Linked DNA regions of Oryzias latipes. The protein of the gene in region 1 interacts with the protein of each later gene in a biochemical or structural test. Links are inferred from orthologs where the notes say so. Each region holds a gene or a part of one and is shown on either strand. Other genes may lie near its edges.

Region 1 (5,694 bases):
CACATTTCCACTTCTTTCTGAACACAGCCTCCCTCCCCATGCACATTTATTCATCAAGTCTCCACCTCTGCAGACCAAGTCTTGTAAGGTGGTGTACTTCACTGGAAAACTGTAAATCTGAGTCTCTCAGTAGAACACGACTACTAATTGTTTCAGGAACAACTGAACTGAAACTTGGGAGACTTTGAAAAACTATTTCAAATCTTGTTTTCATTTACCAAAGTAACAGAGCATTGTCATTGTTAAAATAAGTGAACATAACTTGACTTACTCTGGAAAAATTTCTTTTCTGAAATGTGTCTATTGTGTGAAGAAGTGGGAGAAGAATGAAAGGATTCAAAACGGGTATTCAGGCTTTTCTTCAAGAAAACAAGAATCACAGCAAATGAGAAGTATTTTTTCTTTTGAGTCTGTCAGCCAAACAAAAATCAAACTGCACTCAATCTTAGTGAATGTGACAAACATGGTGCCTTTACCAAAACTGGTTTTAGATACATTCCCTCTCCGCACGAAACCTGGTCCAGCAATGACAACTAAAGGCAAACTCTCCCACAGTTTGATTCAGAGAGTCCTTTTAGTAGATCAAAGAGGGGCAGCCGACCCCAGCTTCGGAAATTCTTCAAAGAAAGAAACAAGCCAAGAGAAGACGGGGAGCCCAGTAGAGACGGCCTTCAGTTGGCTTTGGCGCGGAGCTGTGCCCTCTTGCTAGTCACAGCCTGGAAGCCGGCCTTGATGCTAGCCACGGAGCAGCGGGAGTGGCAGGTCTCGCACTGCAGGAAATAAAGACGAGTGTCCTTCTGCAAGATGGTTTCTGGAGAGCGGCAGGTGTGACATGTCACATATTCCTCTGCAAAAATTAGAAAAGTTTCAGTTATTTAATGCACACAGAATGTGATTGGTCTAGGTAATGTTAGAAACTCACAACAAGACCTATGTTTAGTAAATTCCTTTGTGAAAATTTTTAAAATGCTTATCTCCGAACTCCAAATACCTTTAATTCATTATTAGTTACTGAAATTTCTCATGCTGGTAACCCTTTAATACTGGAAATGTCACCGGTGCCACCTAAAGAACATGTGCTCTCTGACATACCGTAACTCACTGACCATTCACTTCACACAATCACCGCGAATCAGCTGATTCTGACGCAGAGAAAGCGGCTTTTCATAGTGGCTACGCACTGATATGCAACACATTACTAATGCTAAGTGCTAAATAACTGTGCAAAGCCACTTTTTTCCAAGACAGAATCACCTGATTTATATCGGCTGGGAAAGCACGTCACTGCTGTAAAGTGTTGTAGATCTGCGGAAGGCTTTAGAATTAGCTTGAATTACCTTATGGTAATTGCATAAACGGACGAAGAGTTACAGTAGTTAGAATAGAATACTTTAGAATAGAAGGTTTTATTAATCCCAATATGGGGATTGTCAGAAAGAAGGCCAACACCGGAGTTTTAAAGGGTTAACTCAGCTGTAATAAACCACAAACTTTAGACTTACTGATGTATCTTCTTAACACATTTTCAATCTGTTTCTGTTGAAATCTGCCTTTGATCACCAGCTGATTATTTCCATCTATGGAGCCGCTGTTTACAGACAAAAACATTTGTTTTTAGAAAAACAGACATAAACTGTTTGTACCAAAAAAAAAAAAAATTACACTCAGTTTATGCTTTCCAGATACCTCGTTCCCAGCTCAGCCAGCAGAAAAGCGAGGAGATGTTTAGGCTGACGATGCAACCTGTGTTCAAAACGAATGACACGCCAGTTTTAGAGTTACGTGGGAAAAAATAAAAAAAATAAAAGGAGAGCGAAAAAATAAAATAAAAAAAGGAAAGTCGGATGCTAACAGTTTGCAGATGTCTGTGAAGTTGACAAAAGAGGTTTTTTTGGTTCCCACTCGGACCACTTGAGGAGGCTTCATCACAAACTTCCTCTTCTCTCCGGCCACCATGTCCGGGTTCTTTTCTCTCATGATGTTGAAGACTCTATTTAGGAGCTGAAAGAGACATGAGTTATAGGGTTGAATTAAAAACAGGGCAAGATCCTAACATTGTTACCAAAAAAAATTGTATTTTGAGGGGTTTGATGTTGTTAGATTATGCATTTGAGGATACGAATAGCAAGATTTGCAGAACACATCTGTACACTCTGGGTGATTTTTACCTCATCGTAGGTGTAATCCCTTTCTGAGCCTGCCCAGGCAGGTCCTGTAGAGGAGCTGAAAGAAATCCCATCACTGATCTTGCTCTCATCATCTTCCAGTGCTGCAGACAATATCAAAATCACAAACAGCTTCTTTATGTTCATGTGCCAAACAGGAATTGATGTCTACCTTCATCGTTTTCCAACAACTCTTTCCCTCCTTCATCAAAGTCACTTTTCTTTGGCTTCTTCTTTTTTGTTGGAAGAACCAAATCCAGGTCCTCCTCTTGCGCCTTTGTTTGTTCGCCTTCAATTTTTAATTCCTGGATTTTTAGAATTGAACAGAGAGTTGAATTAGAGAAACATGTAAAGATGCTGCAGAATATGGTACTGGTTGGAGAAAAAGAAAACTCACCTTTAATTCTTCTTCTAAATCATCGAACACTTTTTTAGGTTTCTTCTTCTTTTTCTTCTGGTTGGCAAAGTTCAGGTCATTCAAATCATCCGATGGTTCTAAAAGAAATTTAACTGATGTCAAGTAAGTAGCGTGCAGTGAAAATCTCAAGAACAATTCATAATAGTGCAGCTGTAAAGTCTAGTTCAGCTTGAAAACATTCATTTTGCCAACCTTTCTTCCTGCTTTCATCTTCTTCTAGATCCACTTCTTTCTCTTCAACCTCTGGCTCGACCTCCTTTGCTTCTCCCTCTTTCGCCTCTTCTCCTCCTGCGCCCTCTCCTCCTTCCTCATCCACCATGAAAGGCTTCTTCTTCTTCTTTTTCTTCTTGGTCATGTTAGGATCAAAAATCATCTACAAATGAAATGAGGGGGGGGGGGGGTAAAAAAAAGAAATCAGTCATGAGGCCGACATCATACCTACAAAAATTTGAAGTTTGACATGGAGAGTAATTGTAGTTAATGAAACCCGTTTAAAAATCGGACATGTTTGATCTGGGTTAAAACATGATTATTTTACCAGCATATCACATAGCAAGTTAAGCAGTTCAGGCAGGCTGCAGGACACAGAATAGTTATAAATACGTGACATCGGATTTCCTGTTATTTGTGCTCTCAGATTTCCATAATGGCAGAAGAGTTGTAGCAACTCTGTTATCTAAATTAGTTACATAATGTATTTAAACACAAAAGGTAGTTGTGTCATCGTCTGTTCTTCACAGAACAGTCGGAGTAGCTTGGGCTTGCTAACACAGAAGTGACTGTCGGTTAGCGTCGCGCGCTTCGCTAACTACTAGCTAACATTAACTTCTTTTTTGTATCAATTAACTGGTCTTTTCGACGTTGAAGGTTCCATAAGGGTGGATCTACTAGTAAATATTTAACAAAAAGCGGTGAGCTGGACATTTTCTTGTTTAATTCGTCTGTCTGGGCCGCTGTTAGCCCAGCTGCCACCATGTGAGAGTTGCCGCTGCCAAGGGGAATCGTGTGGAGCCAGGCCCCACCTCAACACCAATCGGCTCCTAAAGTTCCGCTAACTGCATCCCAAAAGTCACGGCACTGACAGCGAATAATGGTTGATAATCAAAGAAGACTCACCTCGTCTCCCGACATGTTTGCACAATGAAAAAACGATACAAATCACAGAACTTCTTATCCTTCGACCAGCCTCAGATCTCCGCGTAAAATTTCTTGCATCAGCGACGGACCACAGTGCGCAATCGCAAAGAGGAGGAATTTTGACGTCTTTTCTTTGCGACGGCGCATGACTCACGTCACCCAACTAGAAAGAATTAGCAACAATATTTGATGCAATACAAAACAAACTGTTGCAACTTTTTAAGGGAAATAAAAATGCTGTTCCATTAGTCAAAATGAATTAGTTTGTAGTCAAATTTTGTCATTTTTTTTACTGAAATTTTATTTTTTTCTATGTATATCGCAATTGAAGAATATTGTTAAAAACCAAATCATATGATATTCTCAATATTTTAGGAAAAATGTAAACAAACCATAAATGTTTTTTTATTTATTTTATTTTTAATAATTATTTTCTGATAATATTTGTGTTACGGGGTTGAAACAGTTGAAGATCGTGACAGGGTTGAAGGGACAAATATGGACCTATGTATAGTTTCTTAATCATGAAATTCAGTGTTAGGACTTTCCTTTATCTTTATGTATATAATGATAACTAATTAACCATAAGAAAATCAGACTCAAATTGAAGTATGACGTGTTTCAAAGCTGTGAGTGTGAAGGGTGGATATTTTCCCTTGGATTCCTTCTCTGCCACTCACACGAAACAGAAATTGTGTTCAGCCTGAAGCAGAATGGCAATTTCCATTGTAATAAATGATCATTTTTTAAAATACTTGCGTTATCAAACAATCAAAGTTCTTAAATCTCAACCTTGCCACAGTCTCTCAACCCCGTTGCACTAAAACACAACAGAGTGGAGTGTGACTGGGTTGAGATTTTTGCACAAAATGGCTGCTGCTTCATGTACTGAACATTATGAAGAGGTCATGAAGTTCAGATTTAACATACTTATTTAAAAGACTAAAACTACTTTGCAAGTAGAAGTTGTCCATTTTATTTACATGTTACGGGGTTGAATTACTGAGTTTGAAAATCAGTTTCACAGAAAAAATGACAAAAGATTAAAAAATAAATAAAGGCAAGAACTGGGCCCCCTTTGATGTCAAGTGATCCAAAAGATTCTAGTTGTTTTTTGTTGTTTTCTTTTTACATTTTTTTAATTCTTTATTAGAACCCTAATCCTAACCGTACAACAGAAATAAATAAAAAGGAAAATAATTAAAATGGAAATAAATAACATTAGAATTGTAGTTCACAATACTAGGGATTGTCATACATCATATGGTCTTCAATGAAAATGGACAGTTTTGTTGCATTTTTGTTTTTCATGAATTTCAGCAATTTAATATATAAACAGATCTCTTTATGAAACGTATTAAATAATAGTTCGGTTTTTCAAAAATCTTCTCTTATGAATGAAGACTTTCTCAGAAATTAAGTATTAAATGCCAAATCAAATCAATGATCTGCAGAAACTACTCCAAGTAATGAAGTATGTTTTGTAACTGAGTAGAAATAGGAAAAGGAAACTTTGAGGAGTACCAACAAATAAAAAAATCCTCCCTAAACCTGTTAACATTCAATAAACAATAAACAGATGCAAACAATTCAATAAACAGATGATCGATTGTTTCTATATTTATGTCACAGAAAGAACAGTTATTTTCTGGAAAACCAAAACGTATATTTAGTAGTTCCTTGCATGGATAGACTGCATTCATAATTTTAAAATGGATTTCTTTGTATTTTAGAAAAATTGGATATTTAATAAACTGAGATCTTAACTTGCATATTTCTTCTTTTGTGTAATGCTGTGACATAGAATGATTTTTGTGAGATGTTGGAAACAGATCTCTAACAAACAAAGATGGTATAAATGAGTTTGGAAGTTTTTAGTTAAGCGGTCGACCATCAAACAACAGAGATGGAAGCTGAACTTGAACATTTTGAACCAGACTAGAGGACATTTGGATCAAATTCTGAGGGATTGCT
Region 2 (5,482 bases), on another chromosome or scaffold:
CTATAAGAGAACTTTGCAAAAAATGTATAAATAACTACAGTAATATTTTCTCTTTTTCAACTCAAAAGCACTTTAAACTAATAGTTAAAGACAGTGTACAAGATAAAAAGCACAAGAAATGTTTTGAAAAACCGCCAAAGGTACATAACTAAAATGTAGAAAAATCTAGAATTTGAAAAAGTCATAAAAAAATAAAGGCAGAAAAAACATTTTGCAAGATCAACAGGTGGGTTGTGTTGTTTGAAAAACACAAAGGAGGCCTGACTACTCTGCGAGGACAGCAAAAACCACCATTTTGGAGTAAAACAGAGAATTCTGTCTCATTTCTAAGGAGTGTTGTGACCAAAAAAAATGTTAAGAAACACATGGACTTTACCGCTTTTTTGATCTGGCTCTAAGACTTGAATTTATTGACTTGTTTTTGCTTTTTTTTTTTTTTCCATTAATGGGTCCAAAAACCAACACTTGTGTCTGAATCTGTTGGGTTAAAATAACCTGCAACATTTGAACTATTGAACAAGGAAAGAAAGACAAACAGACCAAGGCTGCAGAAAACGCCTTTGTTTATACAGACACTTATTTATGTGCTGCACAAAATAGTTCCCAAACAAAAATGTAGTGATATTCATGGAAATCTAACAGCGCCCGTTCATGTTTGGTGTTACACCCCCCCCCCCCCCCCCCACACACACACACACACAAACATACACACAAACAAAATCTTCCGGCGGGCGCCGTGTCACGCACTCAAGAACGCACGCAGCTTGTAATGGAAAGGAATAATTAGAACGCAGTAAATTTGTCGTATTTCCTGGCAAGACAGAAACTTCTATTGTAGAATGAGGATGTGTGTGTGTTTCTGAAACAGCGCACGTGTTTGTGTGTAGATAGAGTGTGCACGTGCTGCATGCTTCTCAAAGAGGAGAGAAGGACAAGAGTGATAAAAGGTTTCCCATAGAAACCCTTGAAGTCTGAACACAGGACTAGCAGAAAAAGTAGGGCATCACCGCACCTTTTTTTTTTTAAAGGTTTTTTTTTTTAAGTTTTGCATTACTGATAAAAATATATATATATACATTTTGTGTGATTGTTGAGCCATTCATTTATGAAATGTAGCTTTTATATATTTATAAGGATTGAATAATAACAGTGTTAAGATCTTTTTTGTAAATAACTAACGTTTAACGTACGCGATCCTTTCAAAATAAAATACATGTGAGTGTCAAATACGCTCCTCCTGCTGCATCACCTTTACTTGCAATTATAAGAACTTTGTCACTAAACAGCAAGAAAACAATATTGTGCATCTGAAGATAAGAATATGTGCTTTACACTTATTCTAAAAAAAAAACTGCTCTGACACATTAAACCTTATGACATCTGCCTGCTTTTTCAAAGCCAAAGAGCCAAAATGGAAGAATAAATGAGCTGCTTGTGGCTCAGGGACCTCAGGTTGCAAACCTCTGCTCTGATGTCATGTAGGTATGTTATTAGAACTCTGACAGAAGGGCAAACACACAAATTTAACGTTTTTTTTGGTCTGGAAAAGAGTCGCCAAGCTCTAAATTTGAAATGCAACCAAATTCTCGGTATTTGTTAATCTCAAAAACAACTATCTAATTTAACACGAATTTGAGTCCCCTTGTATGAGCTAAAGCAACATTTGCACTGGAACAGGTTTCTTCAGACAGAAAAACCTGTGAGTGACCAACGCAAGATGTTGGAAGCATCACATGACACACAAGGCGGCTCCTTCCTCTTTAGCGTCCAGACAGCACGAAAAGTCGAAACCATACGTGAGAAACACGTTTATGTAAGAATCAATCACAAACAAATAACCGATAATCAGCTAAAAACCCAATGAATCAATGAAATAATGTAGTTAAGCTAAGTGAGTTAGCAACTAGCAAGAAAAACAAGGTGCTTACATCCTGGACGGGAAAACGTCGATCCTTTCTTTTCCAGACATCTTCTCGGCTTTTGCAGGATACGATCTGAAAACGGGGCGTTGTATAAAAATGTGCTAAACAGACAAACAAACAACCGTCTTCATTCGGGATTAGTTGAAAGACTAAGGTAACTGCCGTGATCTTGTTCGTCCGTGATGATCAGCTGGCCTCTGGTCATGTGACTGCCCCAAGCTCGCACTGCACATGCGCGAAGCGATAAGCGCTCAAGATCTTTTCCGGGTCGAGCAGCTAGTCCACCTATGAATGCGAGCTAACGGCCTCAAATAATTAGCTGAAAGAAGTAGAGGGAACCAATATTTAGAGCACATAACATTCAAGTGTGTAGTTCTGTAAGCCCACGACACAGGTGAGTTGTTATTGACAGAAAAGAAGTTCGATGTTTAGCGTTAAAACAGGCGGTAGTCACAGCTAGCTGGCTAGCAGTTAGCCGCAGCTACATTGCACGCGCCACACGTGAACCCGGTGGTTAGCCAGGCAGCTAGCACGCATTAAGTCAATCCTTTTGTGTTTAAATAAATATCGTAACTCTTTGTGATTGATTGCGCATAGATAGGCACTTTCAAGTAGTCAAAGTGACCTTTTACTCGTTTGATAAATGCCTTGTTTTGGTTCTGTTCGTGCTTGTTTGTCCGCATTGCATCATTTTTATTAAAATATGAAACAACGAAAATAATGGATATTTAAAGCCTTATTAGAACATTACTAGATATATTTTAACAATATAGCATTATGTGTTATGGAAGAATAGATCGTTTCACTTCCTAGAGGAAATTACAGGATCTTAGATTCTACTTTATGGTGGTAGAAATTCAAATTTTTAGGCAATTCAAACTAAATTGACAAGTTCTTGATATGACTGATTAAAAAGTAGATACATATTGATTGGTCCATTTAAATGTTCATCCCAAACAGATGGTTTTTCTTTTTGCTGTGTTTACCAGAGCTAAAAATCCACTTTCATGCAATCCAGTCAGTATTTTTCTTAGTAGTTTTCCTATAAACTTCTATCTTAGCTATTATAACCTCAGTACTCCTTTTTATATGTTTACCGTACCTCATTTTAAATCCATCTCAATCTGGCTTTATATCACAAAAACCCAAATGAGCTCACCATTCTGTTAACATTCTTCAAACTTTGACTAGAAAATAAATAAGAATGAATTTATGCTGAACAATGAAATGAAAATGTTTCTTTTTAGCATAAGATGTGTTAGATTTGAACACGGTTTTGATTTTTGATGTTTTTCGACAGTGATGCCGGGGCTCAGCTGTCGATTTTATCAGCACCGGTTTCCAGAGGTGGAGGATGTTGTGATGGTGAACGTGCGTTCCATCGCAGAGATGGGCGCGTACGTCAGCCTTTTGGAGTACAACAACATTGAGGGCATGATCCTCCTGAGCGAGTTGTCCCGTCGGCGTATCCGCTCCATCAACAAGCTCATCCGCATAGGTCGCAACGAGTGCGTTGTTGTCATCCGAGTAGATAAAGAAAAGGGTGAGTGTTGCTGAATGTCTTCATAATGAGGGGTAAATCTTTGCAAGTGAATGCCTTTTTTACTGTTTTCAAATTCCTTTCTTATGTTCATTTTCTTCTTTTTTTTCCAGGATATATTGATTTATCAAAAAGAAGAGTTTCTCCAGAGGAGGCCATCAAGTGTGAAGATAAATTTACCAAATCTAAAACTGTATGTTTTTGTTTTTTTCTTTATGAAACCTTTGTTTTCATGCTGAGTAGACTGTCTTGTGTTTGCAGGTGTACAGCATTCTGCGACATGTGGCAGAAGTGCTGGAGTATACCAAGGATGAGCAGCTCGAGAGCTTGTACCAGCGCACAGCCTGGGTGTTTGATGAGAAGTACAAGCGGCCCGGTTATGGAGCTTATGACGTCTTCAAGCAGGCTGTGTCGTAAGTCCAAACAGAAAAGTCACAAATATATAAATACTTAACCTTTGTATAAGTTTTCAGCTTTTTCCTCCAGAGATCCTGCCATTCTGGATGGCCTAGACTTAACAGAAGAGGAGAGAGCCGTTCTGATCGATAACATCAACAGGCGACTCACTCCACAGGCCGTCAAAATCAGAGCAGGTTTGTTCTTTTTGGTCATTCCTGTTCGACAACAGGAGAACATCTTAATGACTCTGCGTCTTTGTCGTAGACATCGAGGTGGCGTGTTACGGGTATGAGGGCATCGATGCGGTGAAGGAAGCTCTGAGAGCCGGTCTCGGCTGCTCCACAGAAGCCATGCCCATCAAGGCGAGCCACAAACTGCGACTTGTTTTTTAAAATGTTCTCTGAAAACTGTTTAGGTTGTTCAACCAAACTTTTATTGTGGTCTTGTTGTCGTAGATCAACCTGATCGCTCCTCCTCGCTACGTGATGACGACCACCACCTTGGAGCGCACAGAAGGTCTGTCTGTCCTGAACCAGGCCATGGCTGCCATCAAGGAAAAGATCGAGGAGAAGAGGGGCGTCTTCAACATCCAGATGGAGGTGAGAGACTTTTATTTTGAAACGTTCACTTTTTGTTGTGCACAAGATAACACAAAACATGAACAAGAAATGTAATTAGACTCAAAATGTGAAAGGAAACTTTTCATTTGAGGCTGTCAGTATGCAATTCCCAGTCAACTATAAGATCAATTTTTGTCTAAAAATGTGGAATTTAACCGCAGCTTGCAATAATTTTAAGTACACTTAGTCAAACTGTCACTTAATTTGTTATTTTAAAAAAATTAATGATGAACTTGTATTTTTATAACCGCAAAATACCACAATAAGACGTCATTTAGTTTAACTTTAATGTTTTTCAAAACAAAAAACAAAACAACCTGCTACTTAAATGTTTAAACAAATGCCCAGAAATAGGATTAGAAATGTTATTAATTTTGCAAATGTTTGCTATTTAGAATGATTCTGAACAATCTGTGTATAGAAACTATTTTGATTCAATGTTTTGAATATTTGCTGAAAGGTCTGTTGCACTTTAACATTTACTCTTAGCATGAAAGGAAGCTGTGATCGATTTGTTCTCCATGAGCTGTTGAATTTTCTCAGCTTTAGAGTTTTTAAACTTTTCTTTGTCCCAACAGCCCAAAGTGGTCACAGACACAGATGAGACGGAGCTCGCCCGGCAGCTGGAGAGGTTAGAGCGCGAAAACGCAGAGGTGGACGGAGATGATGATGCTGAAGAGATGGAGGCCAAAACTGAAGACTAACCCCGTCGTCTGAGAGAAGCTGATGAAATGTGGACCGACTCGGCCGCAGTTGCTCCGCCCCGATTTCACGACTGAATTTTCTGGTATTTTACTAGTTTATTGGAAAACATCCCTGTTTTTAGTATCGAGAGGCAACAAAAGCAAAGCCTTAGCCAAACATGGAGATCCAGATGGTAAATTTAACACATGGATTCGAAATAAGATAAATTGAAAACGGTGGCCTTCACTCGCCGTCCTTTGACTTCAGTATCCATGGCGCTTCACCTTTAAGTCACATGATGTGACCGCCTGGAAGGA

Evidence for each region. The genes of interacting proteins can lie anywhere in the genome.
Region 2: the proteins of eif2s2 (region 1) and eif2s1 form a complex in vitro, tested with the Homo sapiens proteins (2 studies listed by BioGRID and IntAct). The link is inferred for Oryzias latipes from reciprocal best matches to the Homo sapiens genes EIF2S2 and EIF2S1.

The regions. Positions count from the first base shown.
Region 1 is NC_019865.2:7,388,989-7,394,682, forward strand, and holds eif2s2 (eukaryotic translation initiation factor 2 subunit 2), read right to left. Parts: upstream 3,831-5,694; 5' UTR 3,715-3,830; coding exon 3,700-3,714; intron 2,957-3,699; coding exon 2,776-2,956; intron 2,676-2,775; coding exon 2,563-2,675; intron 2,471-2,562; coding exon 2,338-2,470; intron 2,270-2,337; coding exon 2,169-2,269; intron 2,002-2,168; coding exon 1,853-2,001; intron 1,744-1,852; coding exon 1,687-1,743; intron 1,589-1,686; coding exon 1,503-1,588; intron 848-1,502; coding exon 672-847; 3' UTR 15-671; downstream 1-14.
Region 2 is NC_019882.2:5,866,543-5,872,024, forward strand, and holds the start of eif2s1 (eukaryotic translation initiation factor 2 subunit 1), read left to right. Parts: upstream 1-2,138; 5' UTR 2,139-2,316; intron 2,317-3,222; 5' UTR 3,223-3,224; coding exon 3,225-3,465; intron 3,466-3,575; coding exon 3,576-3,655; intron 3,656-3,723; coding exon 3,724-3,875; intron 3,876-3,948; coding exon 3,949-4,055; intron 4,056-4,125; coding exon 4,126-4,223; intron 4,224-4,316; coding exon 4,317-4,460; intron 4,461-5,059; coding exon 5,060-5,185; 3' UTR 5,186-5,482. Other genes in the region: atp6v1d (V-type proton ATPase subunit D), read right to left, coding at 1,929-1,969. UniProt on the Homo sapiens protein: Member of the eIF2 complex that functions in the early steps of protein synthesis by forming a ternary complex with GTP and initiator tRNA. This complex binds to a 40S ribosomal subunit, followed by mRNA binding to form a 43S pre-initiation complex (43S PIC).